3 linked regions of the Rhinolophus ferrumequinum genome follow. The protein of the gene in region 2 purifies or fractionates together with the protein of the main gene of each other region. This does not show direct contact. Links are inferred from orthologs where the notes say so. Each region holds a gene or a part of one and is shown on either strand. Other genes may lie near its edges.

The links. Proteins that work in one complex are often made in the same cells at the same time.
Region 1: the proteins of KRAS (region 2) and RPL18 purify together in Homo sapiens (affinity purification with mass spectrometry; 3 studies listed by BioGRID and IntAct, with this or other methods). This does not show direct contact. The link is inferred for Rhinolophus ferrumequinum from reciprocal best matches to the Homo sapiens genes KRAS and RPL18.
Region 3: the proteins of KRAS (region 2) and YWHAE purify together in Homo sapiens (affinity purification with mass spectrometry; 4 studies listed by BioGRID and IntAct, with this or other methods). This does not show direct contact. The link is inferred for Rhinolophus ferrumequinum from reciprocal best matches to the Homo sapiens genes KRAS and YWHAE.

The regions. Positions count from the first base shown.
Region 1 is NC_046298.1:44,113,995-44,121,490, forward strand, and holds the start of RPL18 (60S ribosomal protein L18), read right to left. Parts: upstream 3,001-7,496; 5' UTR 2,875-3,000; coding exon 2,872-2,874; intron 1,639-2,871; coding exon 1,552-1,638; intron 1,196-1,551; coding exon 1,088-1,195; intron 617-1,087; coding exon 518-616; intron 1-517. Other genes in the region: SPHK2 (sphingosine kinase 2), read left to right, coding at 4,399-4,433, 7,346-7,496.
Region 2 is NC_046293.1:36,538,638-36,546,478, forward strand, and holds the start of KRAS (GTPase KRas), read right to left. Parts: upstream 3,011-7,841; 5' UTR 2,879-3,010; intron 1-2,878. UniProt on the Homo sapiens protein: Ras proteins bind GDP/GTP and possess intrinsic GTPase activity. Plays an important role in the regulation of cell proliferation.
Region 3 is NC_046304.1:16,474,231-16,481,415, reverse strand, and holds the start of YWHAE (14-3-3 protein epsilon), read right to left. Parts: upstream 3,001-7,185; 5' UTR 2,877-3,000; coding exon 2,813-2,876; intron 1-2,812. UniProt on the Homo sapiens protein: Adapter protein implicated in the regulation of a large spectrum of both general and specialized signaling pathways. Binds to a large number of partners, usually by recognition of a phosphoserine or phosphothreonine motif.

The sequences.
Region 1 (7,496 bases), on a different chromosome or scaffold from region 2:
TAGCCATCCACGAGCTGCTGGGACTTACTGTCCACTGCCCTGGCCCAGCAGAGAAGCCCAGCTACTTGCTCAGCCCAATAACCAATACCACCAACTATTAAAAGAAGCTTCCAGAGCTGACATCAACTGTTTTTACCACTTTTAGAAGCTACAGCTATTACATGTAAAGAAACTGAGACGTAAAAGAGATCCAGGACTTTGTCCAGAGGTGAGAAAAAAGTAGCAGAGAAATTTAGATTTGAACCCAGGCTGCAGGCAAGTTCAAGAGCCAGCACTGTCAACAGGGCTCCAGAGGGGCTTGCTCAGGGACACCACCATCAATGATGCCAATGATAAGTCCCCTTCAGTCCCCAAAGCCACCTGGTAGGTGTGATGCCTGCCTCACCCAGAGGTGAGACTGAGGATACAGCACGAGCCTGAGGGCCCCACAGCAGACGAGGATGAGCCACGTCTGCAGGACTCCACCCTGAGCCCATGCTTTCGACATACCCACTGTGCAGAGCCCCTCGCCACTCACCTTCAGTTTGGGGACCTCCTGGATACGCACATCATCGGTTATAGTGCCTACAACCACAGCAGTTTTGCCCTCCCGACCAGGAAGCTTCATCTTACGGATCTTTGGGGGAAGAGGAGAAATGCACATTAAGGACTCCTTTCTGGTGTTTAAATCCAACTCCACTGCTTCAAGCATCCCAAAGACCAACAGTTGTGCCCTGATGGAGCTAAACCCATCCACGCCATGTCTCTCAAACTAGCACTGGCCTAACCACAGGTTCAGCCCAGTAAAATCTCCAGAGAAAATGCAAGCACAGATTTTTCAACAGACCTCTCCTATAGAGGGATCTTGACACGTAAGATCTTGTTGTATGACTTGAAGCCTCAGGAAAAACTCATAAAGCCATTGTAACCACCCCCACCTCACAAAGAAAAAGAACAAGACCAAGAGGCCAAGCCAGTTGAATAACCAGTGGGCTATTAAGCTACAATCTGAGGGTCAGAGCTCCAAGCCCACCCTTCCTCCCAGAGCCCAGCTCCATGTGACCCAGTCACCCCCAGGTTGGCTATGCTCCCCCCAAGAGCCCCTCACCATCCGAGAAAGGGACAACGGTGGCCGGTTGGTGCGACTCATGAACAATCTCTTCAATACCACCTGGTTGAAGGTGGAGTTGGTTCGTCTGGCCAGAAACCTATATAGCTGGATATGAAAGGAACAGGAGGAATGAGAACCTGGGGCCTCCTACTTCCCCCTCCCCCCCAACTTTCTAAGGAATGGGCAAACATATGATTTTGTCTGTCTCCCACTGAGCTCCAGGGAGAGAGCTGGCCCAGGTTCTTCCTTGTCAGGGACCCAGAAAATTCCCTCCCCACCCCCTCGCTGTACACAGACCAGGGGCTGAAAACACTGAACTTCCAGATGCTCTGGGGCAGAATCAGAGATGAGAGCCTGTCCTGCAAGCCCCTGCGAGGAGCCAGTGACCAACGCTAGGATGGAGGCCCTGAAAGTTGCAGTCTAGGGTGGTCCTACCCAGCCATCTCAGTCCCCAACCTCACCTTGACCAACAGCCTTAGGTAGATGTCCTGGCTCTTGGGCTCCTTGCGCCGAACCTTTCTGTCTTTGTTGTGGCGGATGTCGACTCCCTGCCGGGTGAAGGCAAAACCATGGTTAAGTCTGCTGTCAGATTCCTCACCCATAACTGTTCTCAATTATTACTTCTTTCGGAGATATTAGATGAAGCTCCGGTCTCTAAAAAGACAAATCCCAAGCTCACCACTGGGAGAGCTCTAGAAATCACGTAAATACTCTGGGCCTCGAATGACTGCTCTGCAAAAAGGGGCTAACTCTAATATAAATCCTGCAGCACACAACACATAGCACCGTGAAAGCTTTAACACAGTAGCCACATTCATTTCAAGAAAAAATTTTAACTCCAGAAATTGTATTTTTCAACAATTAAGTATTTAAGTTCCCAATACTTGCTCCCACACATGGAGGGAATCAAAAACAAGGGCAAATGCCAAGTAATATCAAACCTTTATTTAGAAATTGATCTGTACAGAACCAATTTTAGAACGATCTGTCATTTGGTTTCCCTGAAACCAAAAACATTATGAGATAGTTTATGACTTTAGCGCTAAGAAAACTCTGGAAAGCCCACCATTTCTACTACACCACCTGCTTACTTTCCTGAGGATTTTCTTTTTGGACTATGTTATAAATTGTAAAGAACAACTTAATTATCAATTGCTCCCACTTAACCAATACTGCATGTTTGCAAGAACCTATGGTGAGCACTTCCTACAACTTAATTCTTTCCAAAATCAAATCTGTGAGACAGAATTACTGTCCCCAGTGAACAGACGGAGAAAGTGGGGCATGGGTTGGGAAAGCAAAACCACAGGATGGTTTTGCGAGCCGACACTCGCACGAGGCCTACCTCGCCCCAAAACCCGGGCACTGGACGCTCGCCAACTCCCCACCAGAGCCCAACTTTTCAGGGTGGGGAGTGAAACGTCCAGGAAGAGGCATCCAAGGCAACAGATAAGAGTGGCTGTGGAACCAGCGCCTGGGTCTGAATCTTGGCTCCGCCAGTTCTTGACATTTTCTTCCTGGTCGTATCATTTAACCACCTCGTACCTCAATTTGAGGATCTATTCAATGGGAGCTACAACGGAGGAACACGGGAGGAACTGGAGATAGATACGACTGACCAATCCCTGGTCTTCAGGCCCCGTTAAACTGCACCCCCACCGCAAGAATCGCCTCCTTCATACACCCCCGGAATCCCTGCCTCCCTGTGGCGCGCCCCCAGCGCGAGACCGCGGCGGATGGCGGCGGATAGTAGAGTTCCGAACGCCTCAAAGCGCGCTCACCATGATGGCGCCTCCTGCTCCACAGGTCCGGAAAGAGAGAACGGAGCCGCTGTGGGCGGGGAAAGCCTTCAGCAAGCGGCGCCCACATGACGTCACATATGCGCGACGTACCACTCTACCGCGAGTCGGCCCTCTCTATGGTGAATTAGGTGGCCGGCTAGACGGGCGTTTCCGGAATAGGGTGAGGCGGGGGTCGGGGGGAACCACCAAAGAAGAAAAGGGGCTACGTCAAGGAGGGAAGGACCAGCACATTGGGGGCCTCTCTGGCCCTACTCAGTCCCTGTTCTCGATACTCTTCCGGAAGGAAGGGATATGGGCGTGAGGGAGATGTCGCGCGGAGTTAGGACGAGTCATCACGTGGTGACGCTCTGGCCCGAAGCCGACGGCCTCTCTGTGGCTTCCGGAGGACCGGGCGGGCCGAGTATTGGAGGTGAGGAGGCGGGGTAGGCAGGGCTAGCCCGGACTTCCAGAAAACCTCTGACCGCACGCCTAGGGGATTTCCTTATATTAGGCTGACCTCTGCCTTATCTCGTGCTGCGCTTTCCAGGCGCAGCCGCGGCTCGGGAAGTCCTACTATAACCTGAAATCTTCTTGCTGCAGCCAAGTCTATAGCAGTCTATTTCCACCTTTTAGATTCCGCTTCTCCTTCTGCCCCCAGATGGCCCATTCTTGACCCCTTCTCAGCCTCTGTCACCTGGGGGCTGCTTTTTCCAGCAGAGAGATTCAAGTGGCCCAGCGTGTTTGTTGTGAAGGATGTGCACGGTACTGGAGCAAGGAGGAGGCACGCTGAGGTCCCGGGATTGGGAGGTGGAGTTGAGAGAGGGGATGGGTAAAAACTCTGAAAGAAAGGGGAGGAAAGACTTAAAGAGAGGGAGACAGAAATTCAGAGGGGAGGAGGAATGGAGACCCAGAGCGGGGGTGGACAAGACCTAGGGTAGGGGGAATGGAGACCCAGGGAGTGAGGAGACCTAGGAAGAGGGGGAAGATGGAGATCAGGGAGGAGCAGAGAATAGAAAGATGTCGATGCCATCTGTAACCAAATTCAAATCCTGGCTGTGCTACTTAATAATAATGTGACCTTGGGCAAGTCATTTAACCTCTGTGCCTCACTTCCCTTAGCTACAGAAGGGATGGCAATAGACCTGGCACATAGGGTGTTTTTCAGCATTATATAAGTTAGTAAAAATGCTTAGGACAATGCACATAATAAGTGCTTAGTAAAATTAGGCTTTATCCCTCTTTATTGGCCCTTAGTGGATGAGACAAGATGAACTGGGTGGGGCAGTGACAAAGCTGACCTCTTCTCTCTTCTTCCCCTGCCTCCTTGGGCCTCCAAGGGGCATGTGTATCCAGCCTGGCCTCCTGTAGTCTACTCTTGACACTTGTACTTATTCACCTCTCCTCCACAGATACAAAGGCCAGGCCTGAACTGTGAGGCCTAACTCCTTACCCATACCAACCTCCCATGGCTTCTGACCCAGGGCCAGGGTCTTGCTGATGTGAACACAGCAGAGGGCCAGCAGATGAATGGATACCTTGAAACACAGGAGCAGTGGGACCAGGTAAGGGTCCATCTGAAAATCAAGATTACAGTACCATGGGACACAGTTTCCTCCTCTTCCTTGTCCCTGTTCCCTCGTCTGTGTGACTTGGTCTCTATTTCTGAGTCCCAGCCTCTTTGATTGGTATGCCTGCTTTTCTTTCTCCCAGGGCCCCAAGCTCAGGTGCTGTGTTTGCCTGTCTCTTCCTCTTACTGGGTTTCTGTCCCTCTCTCTCTCTCTGGGTCTTTCTTTGGCACATATCTGGTGCTGTTGCTACTCTGGGTTGAACACAAGGTACATTGTTTGGCAATAAATTAACTTCTTCCTCCATTTATCTTTCCAGCAAACTCGTCCCTATCTCCTTAAGCATGTGAGTTTCTTTCTACAATTCTGTCTGCTTCTAGGTCTCCTGATACTATTCTTGCCTTTATTTCTTTCTGTTTCACCATGTCATTACCTCTCAACATCTTTGCTTTCCGTCTCTTGGTCTCAGTTCCTCTTAGCCTCTGGGCCTCCAGTATTCTCTACCCCCCACTCCCAACCCCTGACCTAGAGGTCTCTCTCAGATACTGTCTTTCCGGTCTTTCTCCTTGTGTCTCTGTCTTGCTCTGTAACTGAGTCATTCCCTAAGCAGATGTTTTCGTCATGCTACCTCCGCTCTGGTTTCCTCCGCTCTGGTTTGGGCCCAAGGTAAAAGTTTAACATTTTAAAAAAATTGACATGCAATATTATATTAATTTCAGGTATACAACAAAATGATTTGATATTTATATACATTACAAAATGATCACAAGTCTAATTACCATCTGTCATCATACAAAGTTAATACAATATTATTGATTATAGTCCCCATGCTGTACATCATATACCTATGGCTTATTAATAATTTGTGAATTAATGAGCTTCTTCTCTCTGGTTTTCATTCCAGAATTATCTGTTCCTATCTCTGTCTGTGTCCGTCGTTTTCTGGGTTTTCGAGTCCTTATCTTGCACATTCTTAATTCTACTGTCTGTGTTTGTGTATATCTTCGCTTTTCTCTGCATCTCTCTCTCTCTCACTCTATCTGAAAAAGAGACAATACTGTTTTCGAGTCTCTTATTGACTCTGACTCTGCTTCTCTGGGTCTGCAGCTGAAGACCGCCTTCATGCCCCTTTTTAATAAACCCAATGGATGGGACTGGCCCTTGCCCTCAACAAAGATGGCGATACAGTAGCTGGCCGTTGGGCCGTGATGCCCCTTCTGCTGCGCTTGTGCCCTCACCTACAATGGCAGCTGATCTCGCGAGCGCGATGCCCCGCCCAGTTCTTCGGCTCTCTGGCGGTAGGCAGGCCCTTGCGCCAAACTAGCGAGTCGGCTGGACCCGACCCCCGCGCGCCCTCATTGGTGCGGCTCAGGCCAGCCACGCGGCCATTGGCTCAGCAGATGCACACTCCCCCCACACCCTAGGGTCAGATCGGGGTGGTTGGTGCTGATTTGAGGGGCCGCCTGGAGGAGGACCCGGCGTGTGAGGAGGGTGCGGGGGCTGGGAAGGGTCCCGAGTCTGGGGAACCCTGGGACCGAGAGGAACGGAGAGACGCAGGCCCGGGACTGGGGTAACAGGGGTGTGGGATGGAGATGGAGAACCAGAACCGGGACTGAGGGATCCAGGAATGGAAACTCAGGTCTGGGATTGGGTTGTGGAAATCGGGGCGTGTATGGGGGTGGGGGGTAGTGGAGACCTGGTACCGGGGAAACCGGAGACAAAGACTCAGGCTTATGGGGGCGACCTATGGATGGAGACACAGGCCCAGCTCTAGGGTACCTTGTGGGTGGTGAGAATGGAGAGCAGGCCAGAGACCTGGAGACCTAGAGACAGAGACGCAGGCCCAGGACTGGGGGAAGATCTGGGCTCTGTGCCTAAGCCTGATTTGAGATAAGGGGTGGGGCCTAAGGGTGAGTCCAAGGTTGGGGGAGGGGGGTGTGTCTGGGGCAAATCTGGGCCAGGGAAAGGTAGGGCAGGACAGATAGGTGGCTCGGTGGGCGGGGCAGTGCGGAACAAAGGTGAGCAGGGAGGAGGCTGAAGAAGGACAGAGGGCAGGGGGAGGGCCTTTGGGGAGGGGATCTCAGGCCTGGCTCCCATCCTCTCTCCCTGGAGAGCTTTCAGCCAGATGTCCAGGTCAGTCCTTAGGGTCCAGCTCTTGGCCCCTGTCCCTTGCAGGTGCTTGCATGTGACTCCTCTGGCTCTCTGACCCCTTAGTCCCTCCATGTCACATTCCTTTCTTAGTCTTTACTGATGTCTACATCTCCTATCTCCTGCCTCTCCTATTTGCTCTTTTTCTCCCTTTTCTTTCTGACCCTCAGAAGCCCCTAAACGCATACTCTCCTCTCTGAGTATCTTTCATCATCCTCGGTTTCATTTCATTGAAGCTGTTTGTCTCCTCCTCTCAATGTTTCTCTGGCTCTTGGACCTTATCCTTTTCTTTGTGTCCAAGTCTCTCCCCCTTGTTACTTTCTCTCCATCTGGAGATGTATGTTGTGTTTTTCTCTGTCTTTGCATATCTGTTTCTTCTATATCTCTACCATCCTGATCTCTCTCCGTCGCCTTATTTTTCCGCAAAGCCCTTATCATTCAGCACTATATTGTACTTCTTTATCTTGTTTTTTTGTTTTCTGATTAGCATATAAACTCCATGAAAGCAGGGATATTTGTCCACTTTGTTCTCTGCTGAGTTTGCTGGGCCTGGCACTGATTGGCACATAGAGGGTACTAAATAATTATTTGGGGAATAAAATGAATGAATGTTTGCATGCCTGGGTGTGGAGCCTTCAGGATGCTGGCCTTCCTGTCCAACTGCTCTCTTCCTTGCATCCTCAGGGTCTCCCCAACTTGTCTGGGCCTGTCTGTCTTTCGTGTACCTGTGACCACCCCTCATTGTCTCCTCCTTTCCACAGGCCTTGCCCCTGCTTCCCTCCAGCTGCCATGGGGGTCCTGGACTTTGACTCCTACCCTCCTTCCTCCCCACAGAGGCCGGACCAGGAGCTGACCTGGAGCTGGGGCCATAGGCCTAGGAGTGAAGCCATGGCCCCACCACCGCCACTAGCC
Region 2 (7,841 bases):
AATTTTTTGAAATAAAATGCATTTCTTTAATTTTATCTCCTTTCCCTCAAGAACTACAGGATATTAGTACAAATAAGGCTGCAGATATAAATGCAGAATGGCAGTAAATGCACAATAAGTTATCATAAGTAGTCCCAAATTAATGAATGTGCAGATATAAACAATATATACATGCAGCACCCTATTTACTGAAGACCAAGATTATTCAAATAGGCACCAAAAAAAAAAAGAAAAAGCTAATATGGTTTTCCAAATGATAACATACTAACCCACCCCCTCACCCTATTCCTAAGCCTTCTCACAAAGAGCAGACAGACTAGACAACTGTTGTATCACACACTGTTTGTTATATTACAGCTCCCCGGCCTCTTCTGTGCCACCTAGCCTTACTTGCTCTTGTCTGGGGATACCTTGGGAACCACTACAAATATGTATCTTATTCTGTTTGCTCCCACTTTTTATTCCAAATATAGGCCATAACAAATGGGACAGATAAGGAGACTCACACCAAAATGTATCCTCTGGCTCCATGCCCACCACACTCTGCCAAACAATTTGGACAACCTAGAACAGTAGTTCTCAAAATGTGGTCCATTATGGTTCCTACGGCTTTTGTGGGGGGGGGGGGTGGGGAGGGAAGCGGTGTCAAAGTCAAAATTTTTATCAAAATAATACTACAATGCTAATTACCATTTCCACTCTTGCTCTTGCACAAGTTTATAGTCTTCCAGATGTGTGATCACAGTACACTGAATACAGAAGCAGAGATAGGAATCCAGATGCCTTCTACTAATCCATATAATTAAGGAGATTTGCAAAAGTCTGAAACAATACCACTCTTCTAACTACTTTTGGTTTTTATTTTGAAAAAGTTATTTTTCATAAAAAAATGCTATTTGTGTTACCAAGTAATGGGCTAATTATTTCTATTTTAAATGAATTAATGTTTAAACTTCTCAGTTTTCATTTCTATGATAGTAAATATTGACATACCCCATATTGGGATCTTCAGTAATTTTTAAGAGTGTAAAGGGGTCCTTACAAACCAAAAAGTTTGCTAGCCTAGGAGATCCTGTGGACAGATATTGGATTAGAGCTTAGTTGTATATACATGTGTGAACTCTGAGGCAGACACACCATCTGGTCTATGTGTTATCCAGTGGTAGTTTCTGAAAAAAATCCTTGAATTGAATTTTAAAAATCAAGTAACATTTAAGTCCACTACAGACAACTGGGTTCCCAGGTAGTCTCACTGAAGATGAAATGCCAGAAGGAGCTTCCTCACCCAAAACTACAAAAGCTACAACCCAACGTTTAGGTAAGGAAAAACAAATTCACTTTTATTTGTCATAGAACTGAATCATCATCTCATCTACCATCTTTAAGCAAGCAGTTCTGATACCATATTTGATGTCTATAGTCTGTTACATGATCAAGTCAGCATTTTGGACATTAGTCACGTAAGAGTGACATCACTCATACGGTTGATTCTGATGATTTATGAACAGATATTTTTGCCTTTGTAATTTCTTTGTAAATGATTTTCCATTACAAATGCAACATGTATACTGTGTAAAAAATTATAAAATACCTTTATAATCATAAAATACCTTAAAATTATAAAATACCTTAGCCTCTGGTTTTCATAGATATCAAGATTTAAGAAAGCCAGCTAGCTATTTCAAGCAGTTGGCTGGCAGATTGCTACAATTAACTCCTCTTGTAAATAAGTGACAAGAAATTGTGTGAGTGCTGTTTAAGAGAACTGTAATAACTCTTGGGATGGATGTCAAATTTGTTAGGATCAGGGTCATACAGAAGAGATTACCCTGGAAAAAGAAAGGACAAGAACAAGCAAATTAAACTTCAAGTATGATTTTGGCTATTACTGTCTACACTCAAAAAGCAAGAGAAAAGCCTACTCAACTAGCAAGAGAAAAGCCCCTGCTTCTGCTCTGCGGGTTTTCTGCGTGTGTTTGAACTTGACAAAGCAAAGGAGACCTCCTGGGATTCACTTTTTTCTTTTCACTAAGTCACAGGCTTTATGTTGTAGGGTGTTGGCCACCTGTTCTTCCATCTCTACCTCCACCTCCTCCTTTGTGGCCACAGCAATGTCACAGCCCATACATGGGGGAGGGGAGCAGTCAGTAACTCGGCTGCAGATGCATTTTTTCCCCCAAACACAATAACCTCAAACAGTGGTCCCGAAGCACCTGCCTATACTCTTCCAAAACGTGACCTCCCCCCTTACTCATTTATCCCCCTACACACTGAAAAGGACCACTATCCGTCCCGTCTGCGCTCGAGGGAGAAGTTTATTCCTTGGTCCTAGAGATGCTAGATGCAGCAGGGAAGGCAGCAGCCGAGGCAAGCCGAGTGCTGGAAAGGGAGGAAGAGGTGCGGGAGCGAAGGGAGAGAGGGAGGTGGGGGGGGAGAAAAAGAAAAAGAAAGAGAGAGACAAGGGGGAAGGGAGACTGGAGCGCAACGGGAGTAACCTCCACCGCACCCGACCGCCCGGAGGGGCAGCCCGCCCGGCCGGCGAGTTTCTCCCCGGCCGCCTCCAGTCGCAGCTCTAGGGGAGGAGGAAGGAAGGGGTTCCCCGTCCAGGAAGCAGCACAAGCGGCGGCCGCCTCTAGCCTCACCCTCCTCAGCCCCGCACCGCCTATTCCCCATTGCCCGCGTCGCCGTGTCCCCACGCCTCTCGCTGCAGACCACCCCCACAGCGTCCGCCAGCTCGCTCTCCCCGGCTCCACGCCCGCGCCCCCTTCCCGCCCCTCCCGGGACCCCTAATTCATTCACTCGCCGCCGGCCCCGCCCGGCGCGGGCGAGAAGGGTCGGGACCAGGGCAGGGGCCCAAGAGGGGTGGTCTGCTCCGTACCTCTCTCCCGCACCTGGGAGCCGCCAAGCCTCTGGCCCCCGCCGCCGCCTTCAGTGCCTGCACCGCGCTCGCTCCCCGTCCGAAATGGCGGGGGCCGAGAGTACTGGCCGAGTAGCCGCCACCGCCGCCACCGCCGCCGCTACCGCCGCCGCTGTGCCTCCGCTGCCGCGGCCGCCGCCTAGGGAAATCGAGCTCCGAGCACACCGATGAGTTCGGGGCCGGGCGGCCGCAGAGGGCAGAGCTATCGACGCGCTCGGTGCTCGATTCCTCTCCAGACGGGTGTGCGGGGAGGGAGCGGCGGAGGGCGGTAAGGGAAGAGGGAAGAGAGGGCCGACGAGCGCCGCCGGGGTGGAGGAGGGGGCCGGGCCTTTCCGGGGGAGGGGGACAGGCCAGCGGAGGAGGAGCGAGGGCCGACTGAAGAAAGCCGTGGCTAGAGTGGCGGAGGGAGAGGGAGCCGGACAGGTGGAGCTGGAGGGTCTGGGCGGCGCCTCGGCGGGGGCCATTGCTGGACCCAAGCGGCCGCCCGCCCCTCGGTTCTAGCAGCGGAGCGGAACCCGCAGCCGCAGATTCGGAACCGGACGGACCCTCGGTGGGCCACACACACACACACGCGCACACACACACACACACACACACACACACACACACACGCACACACGCACACACCCCCCCCCCCCGGAGAGACAACCATAAGCGACTTTGCCGCACCCCTCTCGGTTCTACACAGAGAAGCTGCGAAAATCCCGCCACCCCTCGGGGTCGGCCTACAGTTGTGACTTTCATTTACTATAATTTATTCCATGTAAATAAACATGCAGTCACCAAATGTGGGAGGGGGAGACGTGGCAGGCAGTGCTCCACCCTGGGGCTTCCGGATCAAGGTTGATTATTACCAGCCTCGACGGTCGAGGGGGGGGAACCTAGCCCCAGGCCCAAACAAACCTGACAGACCCTTTCGTCTTTAATCTTATGTGGGAAGGGGTCTGTTGTTTTGGGTGGTTGTTTCTAATGGATATTTTGAAACGGTCACAGGTGACTCTGAACAGGGACCTCAAATGTATTCATTGCCCCTGATGGCACCAGCAGAACCCAAGTTAATAAGTACAAATGCCCTTGATAGTTTAGACCTGAGGAAAATCATTCAAACATTAATTAGAAGATTGAGATTAACCAGTTAACATTCAGAGAGTGAACACATCAAACAATGAGAATTAAATCTAGTATAGCCAGAGTCTGCGTGGATACGCTACCTAGAAAGGTAAATTGTCCACACGAATACAACAATTATTTTAAATCCCAACTATTGTATCTGTTAACCTAGGCCTTTCACCAACTGTCACCCTTTCTTCCTGCCCCATATGTGGGCTGTAATCTGCAGGATTTGTTCCTGTTGCCCTGGCCCTGTTGTAGCAATTGGTAGCAGGTACAAGAGAGGAAGTGGAACACCGTGGAACACACGTCCACTATAAATCCACAACACTTCCTCTGACTGCTACTTATAAATCTTTCTTCAGATGTCTTCTAATGAGTTTTTTTCCCCATAAAAGATCATCTATGATACAGCATCTCTCCATCCTTCCCCCCAAATCCTATCTCTCTTCCAGCTTTATTTTTCCCCTAGAGCACTTACCACTTTCTAAGGTAGTGCATAACTCATTTGTTTTCTTGTCTCTCTCCCACCAGAATACAAGATCCCTGAGGGCAAGGATTTTTGTCTGTTTTACTTACTGATATATTTCCAGTGCCTACAACACAATAGGCACTCAATAAATATTTGTGGAATGTTGAATGAATTGAAGTTATGTATACTCCTTCTGAACTCTGACTCTTAAGTGTTTTACTCTCTCTGTAATCTGTTTGCACCAAAATCTGCCTTTAAACTCACCCAAGTCACCTTCTGATAAGACACACCCTATGAAGTCCAGGAAAGAATCTGCGCATAATGGACACAATGAGTTTTTGTTAAATGAGTGCATTTGCACTTCTTTGGATGTTGCTTTGTAGTCACTCTTAAATATGAATCACAGATTTATTTTTGTCCAACTTCAAGTACACAATAAACTCTTGTTTTCTCTGACAGCTGCTAATACAACGTTCTCCCTGTAGTTGGTGCTCCATAAATCTTAAAAGGACTAATATAGAGGAGGGAAAAGCTGTATATTGCACTTTTATGGTGATTATAAAAATTCTGGCATTAGTAGAAACCTAATCCATCCACATGCTCTCAGTTATCATCTAGGCTCATGATCCCCAAAGCAAATCTACACCCCACTATCGGTTCCGTGGACCCTACACTCCAGCTTCACCTCACATACTTCATCTCTCCTTCCTTTCACTCCTACAGCAATGTGTAAACATATGCTCTGTCAAGCCTTTCCACCATTCAGTCCTGGGTGCTTTCACAGAAGCCAGCAACCCCCTCCCCAACACTCTTTCTGTCCTTTACCCAGAGCTTAGAGCAGTGGGTCTCAAAGGTTAACTGCTTCATGAAACACCTGGCATACTTTAAAAATGCAAGTTCCTAGGCCTCTCACCCAGATATCCCATTCAGTTGGTCTAAGGTTCAGTTGAACCAGAAATTTTCATTTGTAACAAATCAGGTGATCCTAAATTGGTGGTTAGCAGTCTGTACATTGAGAAACTCTGATCTAGATACTCAAATTCTTCTCTTCTCTTGGAGAATGCACTTTCTACTATTTTTGGGGGTTGCTCCTCAAGCCTGGTGGCTGCAATGAATAGTCTCCCTGACTCTCCCTTTCTTTGCTCTCCCCAAGGACAAAGACACAGGCCCATACTGTAATCATGATGGGAAAAGAGAGAGAGGAATAACAAAAGTGTAAACCTGGAGATGCCAGGCTTGCTCTGAATTTTCTGCCTTATACTATTGTATTCTGGGGAGGCAGCCACATACACATGTGCACATGCATGTATCCTCTTGATCTTGCTTTATGAAGATCATGCTGACCCTTTTCTTCATGAGATACCTTCTTCTGAAGGTATAATTAAAGCAAGACAACAAAAATATCCTTGTGTTAGTTGGGCTCTTACCAGATATAAAAAGGCAGGACATGTTCAGAGCACTGCAAATGCTGAGGGATTATGTTAAGGAAATAAGGAAACTTCAGAAAGTCATAACAGAACTACTGCTCATTCTAAGAATTAACTGCAGTTCTTGTGATCCAGCGACAGTCTTGGGTACCTTGCTCATCCCCTCACTGACAGGCAGCTATTGACCATATTCTAGTAATTTTGCCATTCTCCTGAATCATATCTTTCTGCTTCTTTCTCATATCACTCTCAGCTTCTACTGCTGTCTCTGCTTCTAGAGGCCACTTCCTGTGACTTACATTTAAAACATCCCAAGAAAGAGGATCTGAATGCAATCTGTCATTCACTGTTCAATAAGAAAGGCCTTTATGGAATACAGTTTTCCTGATGGGCCACCTGATTGGTGGCTAGTCTTCTTTATGCCTGGTTTAGAGATCATTGACTTTGCTTGGGTGCCAATCCTGGGTCCAGACATTGGTGGCCAGAGTAGCAGGACACAGTCAGGGAAAGTTAAGCAGGACAAGCCACCTTTGGATGCTTTCATGGACTATATGTCAGTTTTCTCGGGTAGAAAATTTGTACTGGGTTTCCCCTAAAATGAGATCTAGCTGGACCATCAGCTCTAATGTGTCTTTTGGAGCAAAAATTAATGTAAGACCCGGTCTTATACTATATTATATAAGACTCGGTCGTATATAATATAGTATAATATAAGACCAGGTCTTATACTATATTAAAATAAGATCGGGTCTTATATTAATTTCTGTTCCAAAAGATGCATTAGAGCTGATGGTATGGCTAGGTCTTATTTTCGGGGAAACACAGTACCACTGAATAGGTGCTATCTAATTTGCTTACCTAGCACATAATCTCCTCTGGACACTTATTTCATTAGACTTTGTATTCCTTTCTTGTATATCTGTTTTCTCCAGCAGGTTGTTGATTCCTCAGAGTCCCTGCCCAATTTGTATCCCATAGCTATTAGCCTCTACAAATATTTGTTGAAGTGAATAAAATCACAACAAAGCTTCAACCCTGTCTCCACATAGCCACTTCATTCTCATCTAGCCAATTTCCTAGACCATGTCTAAATGAATATCTTGTCATTATCTTAAATGCCTGTTCAAAACGAAATTCCTCTTCTAATTCCCCCAAACTAATACCCTCTCCAAAGTTTTCCATCTTGTCTGAGTGGCATCATGGTCCTTTAAAACTTTATATTCAAAAATTGAATTTTCAACCCACTCTGCACTCCAATTTGTTACAGCTCCCTTTAATTAAATTCCTAAGCAATTTCTCCTATCTGCCTCTTCTACATTCTTTCCTTCACACCTACATTTCTGGAACAGCTTCCTCATGACTTTCCTACCTCCTGTCTTTCTTCTTTTCAATTCAGGCCATATGCTGCTGCCAAATTAATCTTCCTTACACATGTCTTTCATCATCATCAAACATTTCCTCTTTTCCTACTCCATATGAGTCTGAGACTGCACTCAAACAGATTATATATTTTAAAAGTGCAAAGAGTTACAAGCTAAGTGTCTAATTAGTACCTAAAGACGATGATAATTACTCTAGAAATTAGAGTGAGGAATGATCACCGGTCCCAGTTAAGCCTTCACCAAGAGTGAATCTTGCTTACAAATCTTTAATAACTCTTTATATCCAACTGAATCATGGCCAAATTCTTGGTGCCTAGCTTTGGAGAGCATCCACTCTCTGGCACCCTCCTGCCCTGTGACTTCCACCTTTCCAAAGCTGATGCTCTCTTCTCCTCAAGCAAATCCCTTCTCTATGCCACAAAACTAGGATATTGTGTCTTTGCTCCTTTTTCACCCAACATCTTTTTGCCTCTCTCTTTGCTTAAAATTCTCTTTCAAGATCTAGAACAAGTCCTACTTCCTTTAGAAAGCTT
Region 3 (7,185 bases), on a different chromosome or scaffold from region 2:
AGACCTCTCTACTCTCAAAAAATGTGAAAAGTACTCTTTTCCCCCTGCTATATTCCCCACTTTTCTGTACTAATGTGGTTCATATAAATCAGACAGTAAGACTTAGTTCAGGAATGCTAAGACTGACATTAAGTGATGGGATGCTAGATTAACCTTCAAGGTGAACAATCCTAGCCCCAAACTTCAGGTATTTCCTACCTGCAACCCAAAATTGTCCTTTTTCTGAACACAGCTTAGCTTTTCCTCCAGTACCATTAAATAAACCATATAAATCGACTCCAAGTCCCCAGGATAGAGTTAAATGACGCTACAAAAAAGTGTTAAGTATTGGTTCAACACAGCATGCAAAATTACAGATAAAGGTACTGCAGGAACGAGAAATTTTATTTTATTTATATCCACGTACCCAAAATCAAATCATTCAAATGCATTCTCACCTCCTCCACTCCCCACACTTGAAAATTTTTCTGGTGGCCAAAACTATGGGATAATTTTTTGTCACCACAAACAATGAATTTTTGCACCCAATAAAGGAGTGGACACAGGTAAAAATCTGATTCCCGATGACTCTCTTCCTCTGCTTCCTTCCCAATGAATCCCTCCCTATCTTGTGCCCAACAGTCACAGGAGTTCCTCCCCATCTGGTAAACCCTATCTATTCCTCCCTTTAGATCCTGGAGATCCAAAAACTGTACAATGTAACGATGAAGCTCTATCTATAGAGTCCTACATTGAACACCCAGTAAGACATTTGGTCAAAAATCCTCAGTACTCAACTCCAAAGTATTATATGATTATCACTAAACAGTCATTTATTTGGAAACTACAATCATGAGCTTCCAAATCAGTTTTTAGAACCTTCCTCCATGTCCTCTTTTTGGTTATCACAGCAAGTTTACTCAGAGCCTAAATCCCTACAGAACAGAAAGCATTCAAATATGAAGTTTTTTGCCAAGGGCACGGGTAGATGGAGAGGGGAACCCATCTGCAGCATGGGGATGGAGAGTTCCATTACAAGCACACCTACACTTGCCTTTTTTACACAGTGAAATAAAGACAAATCTGACCTTGAGCTGTACTTCCCCATCTTATTCCCTTCCCCCTCTCAACAAGAATCTTGTTCAGTACCAACAGCAATTTTAGGATTTACAGAACGAAATTTAGTGCAGTATCTTTCCAAAATTTCAGTTCCAGGCCTTTTTTCCTCATTTCAAACTCGTGAATCCTAACCCTACGCTAGGATTAGCCCTGAGGGTATGCACGTGACCAACAGGCATTCAAGGAAAGCAAGGACCCTACATAATATTTTGAAAAGTAAGTGGCTTAATTAAGAAAAATCTAAAGATCAATGGCACTTGATTTCAATGTCTCATCCCACAACTGCATTAGAACCACAGAAACCATATGTAACTTTTTGTTTTTCTGTACATTTTAACGCATGTGGAGGTCATTCAAGTACCTAGTGCAAAATGGGGGGTGGGGAGGGCGACTCAAAAACAGCCGCCTGGAATGGACTAAACAGACACAATGGGCATTTTGATAAAGTTCAGAAAAATGACGAAAGAACCTTCAGGGACGAAGGATCAGTGAACAAAGAAAAACTGTTCAAATCTGTACACAAAACCATTTATTCAAAATGGAAAAAAATATACATAGGATCTGCTGGGCCCCTCGATGTTCATAATCCAAAACCCCAAGCCTCAGCTGGGTGCTTGTGATAGGTTAAGATCCTCCATGAGGTAAGAACACGCATTCCAAGCCCGGGCGCTCAACCAAAATGCAGTTACTAAACGTTATTTGAAATAACTTTATTTTTCAACAGGTCTTTTTCCATTTGTCATAATGGTGTGTGTCAACAGCAAAGTCATTTTAACAAACTTGGAGACAGAGACAGACAGGCACTAGAAAGGGACTAAGAGTTATGGTCTCCTTGTTCCCAGTTCAATGTTCTATACACCACAACCCACAGCTAATAGACAAAAAAAAAAAAATTACAGGAACTTCGAGGTCTCCGGGATAAGTCTGAGGAAAGGGAGGGAGCGTGAGGGAGGTTTTGCTCGATTTCCCCAGAAGAAAGCGAGGCTGAATGTGAAGCCTAAAAAACCCTCACTACAAGGTGTGCTGGCCTACGGGAAAGAAATCTGATCGCAGCATCTCAGCTGGCCTCCGCCCAAGGATGAACTGCAGTGATTCCCACCCTCTCCCCTTCCCCCACTCTCATTCAAGACTGCCTCCGACCACAAGCCCCAAGAAGACCTCCGCTCCTAAGGTTTCTCCTTTGTGAGACTCCACAGCCGCCGCCCCACATTGGGCCTCCGGGGAAAAGCCACCGCCCCCACCCGCCATATTTCCCTGAAAGGCGCCCGCGCTACAGCCCCTGGTCGCCACTGTCCCCCATGTGGCGGGTGTTTCTTCCCCCACTACCCCACCCAATTGTTCTCCACATCCCAAGACTGGCCAGAAGCTCCCCTGGGGATTGCTCGCCCGGAGACAGCACCCGCCATCTCTTCCCCCTCCCCCGCCCCGGGACTCGCCCTCCCCCTAGCCGCCATTTTACAACCAACTCCTCCACCCTATCGCCTGGGCCTCTAGGCTCGCAAGTGTCTGCGGCGAAGGACACCGAAGGGGTCAAATTCCTGGGCCTGGGGCCTCCCACCGCTCCGGGAGACCGCAGGCCATTTCCTGCTTCCCGAATCCACGTCCCCGGGCCAGGATCGGCGACGGTGCCGCCATTTTGTCTCCTGCTCCCGGCCTCTGTGGGCGGCGGCAGAGGGTCCGAGAATTCCAGCCCCCCGTTGCCCCCCCAACTCACCGTCGTATCGCTCAGCCTGCTCGGCCAGCTTCGCCTGGTACACCAGATCCTCCCGATCATCCATAGCGGCAGCGGCTCCGGCAGGGTCTGCGCGACGGATGGAAGCGGATAGCGTCTCCGACTCTCTCAGCCTCTCCCTCCGCGTCCGGGCAGCAAAAATGGCGGCGCCTCAATCCGGGACTTCCGCCTGCGCACGCGGACAACTGCTCAGCTCTATGGCAACCGCTCCCTGGCAACTGGCGCGGGGGGCGGGCCCGGGAGCCCAGAGCCCAGCGCCCGAAGGGGCTGGACCCAGCTTAGATGCCCCTCCTCCTTGGGCTCAGCGTGTGCGGGATCGCTGAGGCGGGAACTGCGACTGAGCGCAGGGAGAGCGGCCCCAAGGCAGCGAGAGATGCTGGAGGCGAGGCACGACCGGACCGCGCCCAAAGAGAGTGAGCGAGGGAACCTGGACCATGAGAACCGACACCTGGATTTGGGACAGAGAAAACTAGAGTCTGTAATGGTTTGTTTTTTTCATTCTTTTAATTTATTTTTTAATTAAAATTTGTTGGGGTGATAATTGTTAGTAAAGTTACATACGTTTCAGGTGCACAATTCTGTAATACATCACCTATATATCACATTGTGTGTTCACTACACAGAGTCAGTTCTCTTTCCATCACCATATATTTGATCCCTTTTACCCTCATCTACCAATCCCCCTTTACGCTTTGGTAACCACTAAACTATTGTCTGTGTCTATGAGTTTTTGTTTCTTCATTTGTTTGTCTTGTTCCTTTGCTGTTTTCACTTTTATATATCACATATCAATGGAATATTGTTCTCGACTTTTGCTGTCTGACTTATTTCGCTTAGCATAATCTCAAGATCCATCCATGTTGTCGCAAGTGGCACTATTTCATTTTATGGCAGAATAGTATTCCATTGTGTATATATACCACATCTTCCTTATCCAATCATCTATCGAAAGACACTTTGGTTGTTTCCATGTCTTGGCCACCGTACATAAAGCTGCAGTGAACAACGGAGCACATATATCTTTATGGACAAATGTTTTCAGATTTTTGGGGTAGATACCCAGGAGAGGGATTGCTGGGTCATATGGTAATTCTACCGTGTTTCCCCGAAAATAAGACCTAGCTGGAACCTCAGCTCTAAATGCATCTTTTGGAGCAAAAATTAATATAAGACCCAGTCTTATTTTACTATAATATAATATAGTAATTGTATATAATATAATATATTATATTGTATATAATATAATACCGGGTCTTATATTAATTTTTGCTCCAAAAGATGCATTAGAGCTGATGGTCTGGCTAGGTCTTATTTTCAGGGAAACACGGTATTCTTAATTTTTTGAGGAGCCTCCACAGTGCCTTCCATAATGGCTGCACCAGTCTGCATTCCCGCCAACAGTATATGAGGGTTCCTTCTTCTCCACAGCCTCTCCAATACTTGTTATTATCTGTCTTGTTGATGATGGCCATTCTAACTGGTGTGAGACGATATCTCATTGTGGTTTTTATTTGCGTTTCTCTGATGATTACTGATGTTGAGCATTTTTTCATATGTCTATTGGCCATTTGTATGTCCTCTTTGGAAAAATGTTTATTCAGGTTCTCTGCCTATTTTTTAATTAGATTGTTTATTTTTTTGGTGTTGAGTTGTATGAGTTCTTTATATATTTTGGATATTAACCCCTTATTGGAAGCATTGTTTGCAAAAATCTTCTCCCATTCGATTGGTTGTCTCTTTATTTTGTCGGTTTCTTTTGCTGTGCATATACTTTTTAGTCTGATATGGTCCCAATTCATTTATTTCAGATTTTACTTCCCTTGCCTTTGAAGTCAAATTCATAAAATCCTCTTTGAACCCATGTAACAGTTTTTTAATGGCAGGCTTACCTCACTGAAACCAACCTCTCTCCTACATTGTCCCTGTTTTCTCAGACAAGCTCAGTCCTGGACCTTTTCCAGATCCTTTTAACTCCGGCGTAAAGAGTTACAGTTGGTAGGGAAAGAAATACTCCAGTTTTCACACCAACTTTACCCTATCACTTGGCAATCTTTTTCTTCCCCTGCGCTTTAGCCTTCTTCTTCCCCTTAGGCCCACCATGGATAGGAACGGGGAGGTTAATAGAGGAACTTAATCTGGAGTGCAAGGTGCAGAAGAGTGGGACCAAGATCAAATTGAGATTGAGGAGGCAGGAATGAGAAAGGACCTGGTCTGTTTTGCTTCCCAATGGATTCCAGCAGCTTGTACTCAATACAATAACTGTTGTAAGCTCAGGTAACTAGGACATAAGCTGTGTGATAGGGTCTGCAATAAATGTGGAATTAAAAGGAGGTTGGAACCAAATTATGATGAGCCTTGAATGGCAAGCTAAGACGTTTGCACTTTATTCAGGGGGCACAAGGAAGCTATTTTTTGATGACTTGCATGGAGGATGACACCAACATCGTTTATCTAACATCATATATATTAGAAGGATTACTAAGTATGGTAGAGTAGTGACTAAAGAAGAGGATAGATTTTTAGGCTATTACACTAATCCAGGCAGAAGGTAAGAGATGGTAGCAGAGAAAATAGGAAGGGAAGAACAAATAGGAATAGTACTACAAAGAGAAATCATAAGAGTTTGTAGCTGATCAGATGTGGAGATCTTGTGAGAGGAAAAACAAATAAAACTGACTTTTCATTCTCCCACCCTGAGTCACTGGAATAATGAGTGGTAGTCCCATTAACAACAACAAAAAAGGAATGCTAGAAAAATGTGCTGATAGAATAAAGAGAAGTCACAGTTCCTTTTAGCATATGTTGGTTCTAAGATTCTCAAAGATCACCTGGTAGAAGTAACCAGCATGGAAGTGGAAAAGGGGACAGGCATTCCAAACTGAAGGGAAGCTACCATGGAAGCAGGTAGAGAGTGTATGGAGGTAGAAGAGAACCAAGCACAAAACCTTGGAGAATACCTACTTTTAAGAGATAAGTGAAGGGCAGCCGGATGGTTCAGTTGGTTAGAGCGCGAGCTCTGAACAACAGGGTTGCCAGTTCGATTCCCACGTGGGCCAGTGAGCTGCATCGTCCACAACTAGATTGAAGACAACGAGCTGCTGCTGAGCTTCCGGAGGGGCGGCCAGATGTCTCAGAGTGCAAGCTTTCAACAACAAGGTTGCTGGTTCAATTCCCACATGGGATGGTGGGCTGCGCCCCCTGCAACTAAGATTGAAGGACAACGACTTGGAGCTGATGGGCTCTGGAGAAACACAATATTCCCCAATAAAAATTTAAAAAAATAAAAATAAAAGAGATAAGTGAAAGCAAACGAGCCAACAAAGGAGACTGGGTGGCTCCTTATTGCATTCCAAATTAAGCCCCTGCACACTTTAAACAAACATCAAATTTCAATGGTAAAAGACTGAGAATCAATCTTAATTCTAATTCTATAACTAAATAAGTACCCATTTATTTGCTTGTACCTTCCACAAGTCATTTCACCTCTGAGGTTCATGTTCATCAGTAAAGTTAAGGAACTGGAGACCGTATATATTACGCCATAAAACAAATCTCAATAAATGTTAAAAGACTGAAGTCATACAAAGTATCTTTTTCTATTACAATGGAATGAAACTAGAAATGAATAACAGAAGAAATTTCCAGGGAATCTGGAAATTTAACAAATATAGTCAGCCCTCCATATCCAGGTTTTGGATGCACGAACTTAACCAACCTCGGCTTGAAAGTAAAATAAAAAATAAATTTTAAAAAATCCCCTCACAGGAGCAGGGTCAGCTGTAGAGGGTGCAGGAGCTTTTGCCACCCGGAGGTGGCTCGACCCTGGCGCCCAGGCAGTCGACCTTCGTGTGAAGAATCTTCGCTGGTAAATACTGCTTCAGCCCTCTCGGTGTGACATCAAGTCGGCACAGCATTCTGAAATTTTTTGGTCATTGCAATGATCTTGATCGGGAGATGAGAAAATGCTTGAAGAATGAGTACATGGAAAAGAGGACCAAGAGCAGGGAGCATGGCAACATGATGCGAAGGAAACTTTTTAATCCTCCAGAGGACTCTGAAAAATAAATTACGTTTTCACTGGATGCCTTGGCTAAGAGAAGACCTAAAGACTCTTGGTTGATAACCTAAAGAATCCCATCCCATTTGGCCTCCAGAATCCTTTGAATAAATGGCAAGTGAGCCGGGAGGAATGGTACTGTGGAGAACTATGAAATCCCTGGATTCAGAATGTTTGTTGGGTAGAGCCTTCAGTACTCTGACTCCTTTACCAACACACCTGACTTCTAACAGTTTCTTCCCTTTGCCTACAGCCAGTTAACCTTCGAGGAACAGATCTCCCCCAATAAAATAATTGA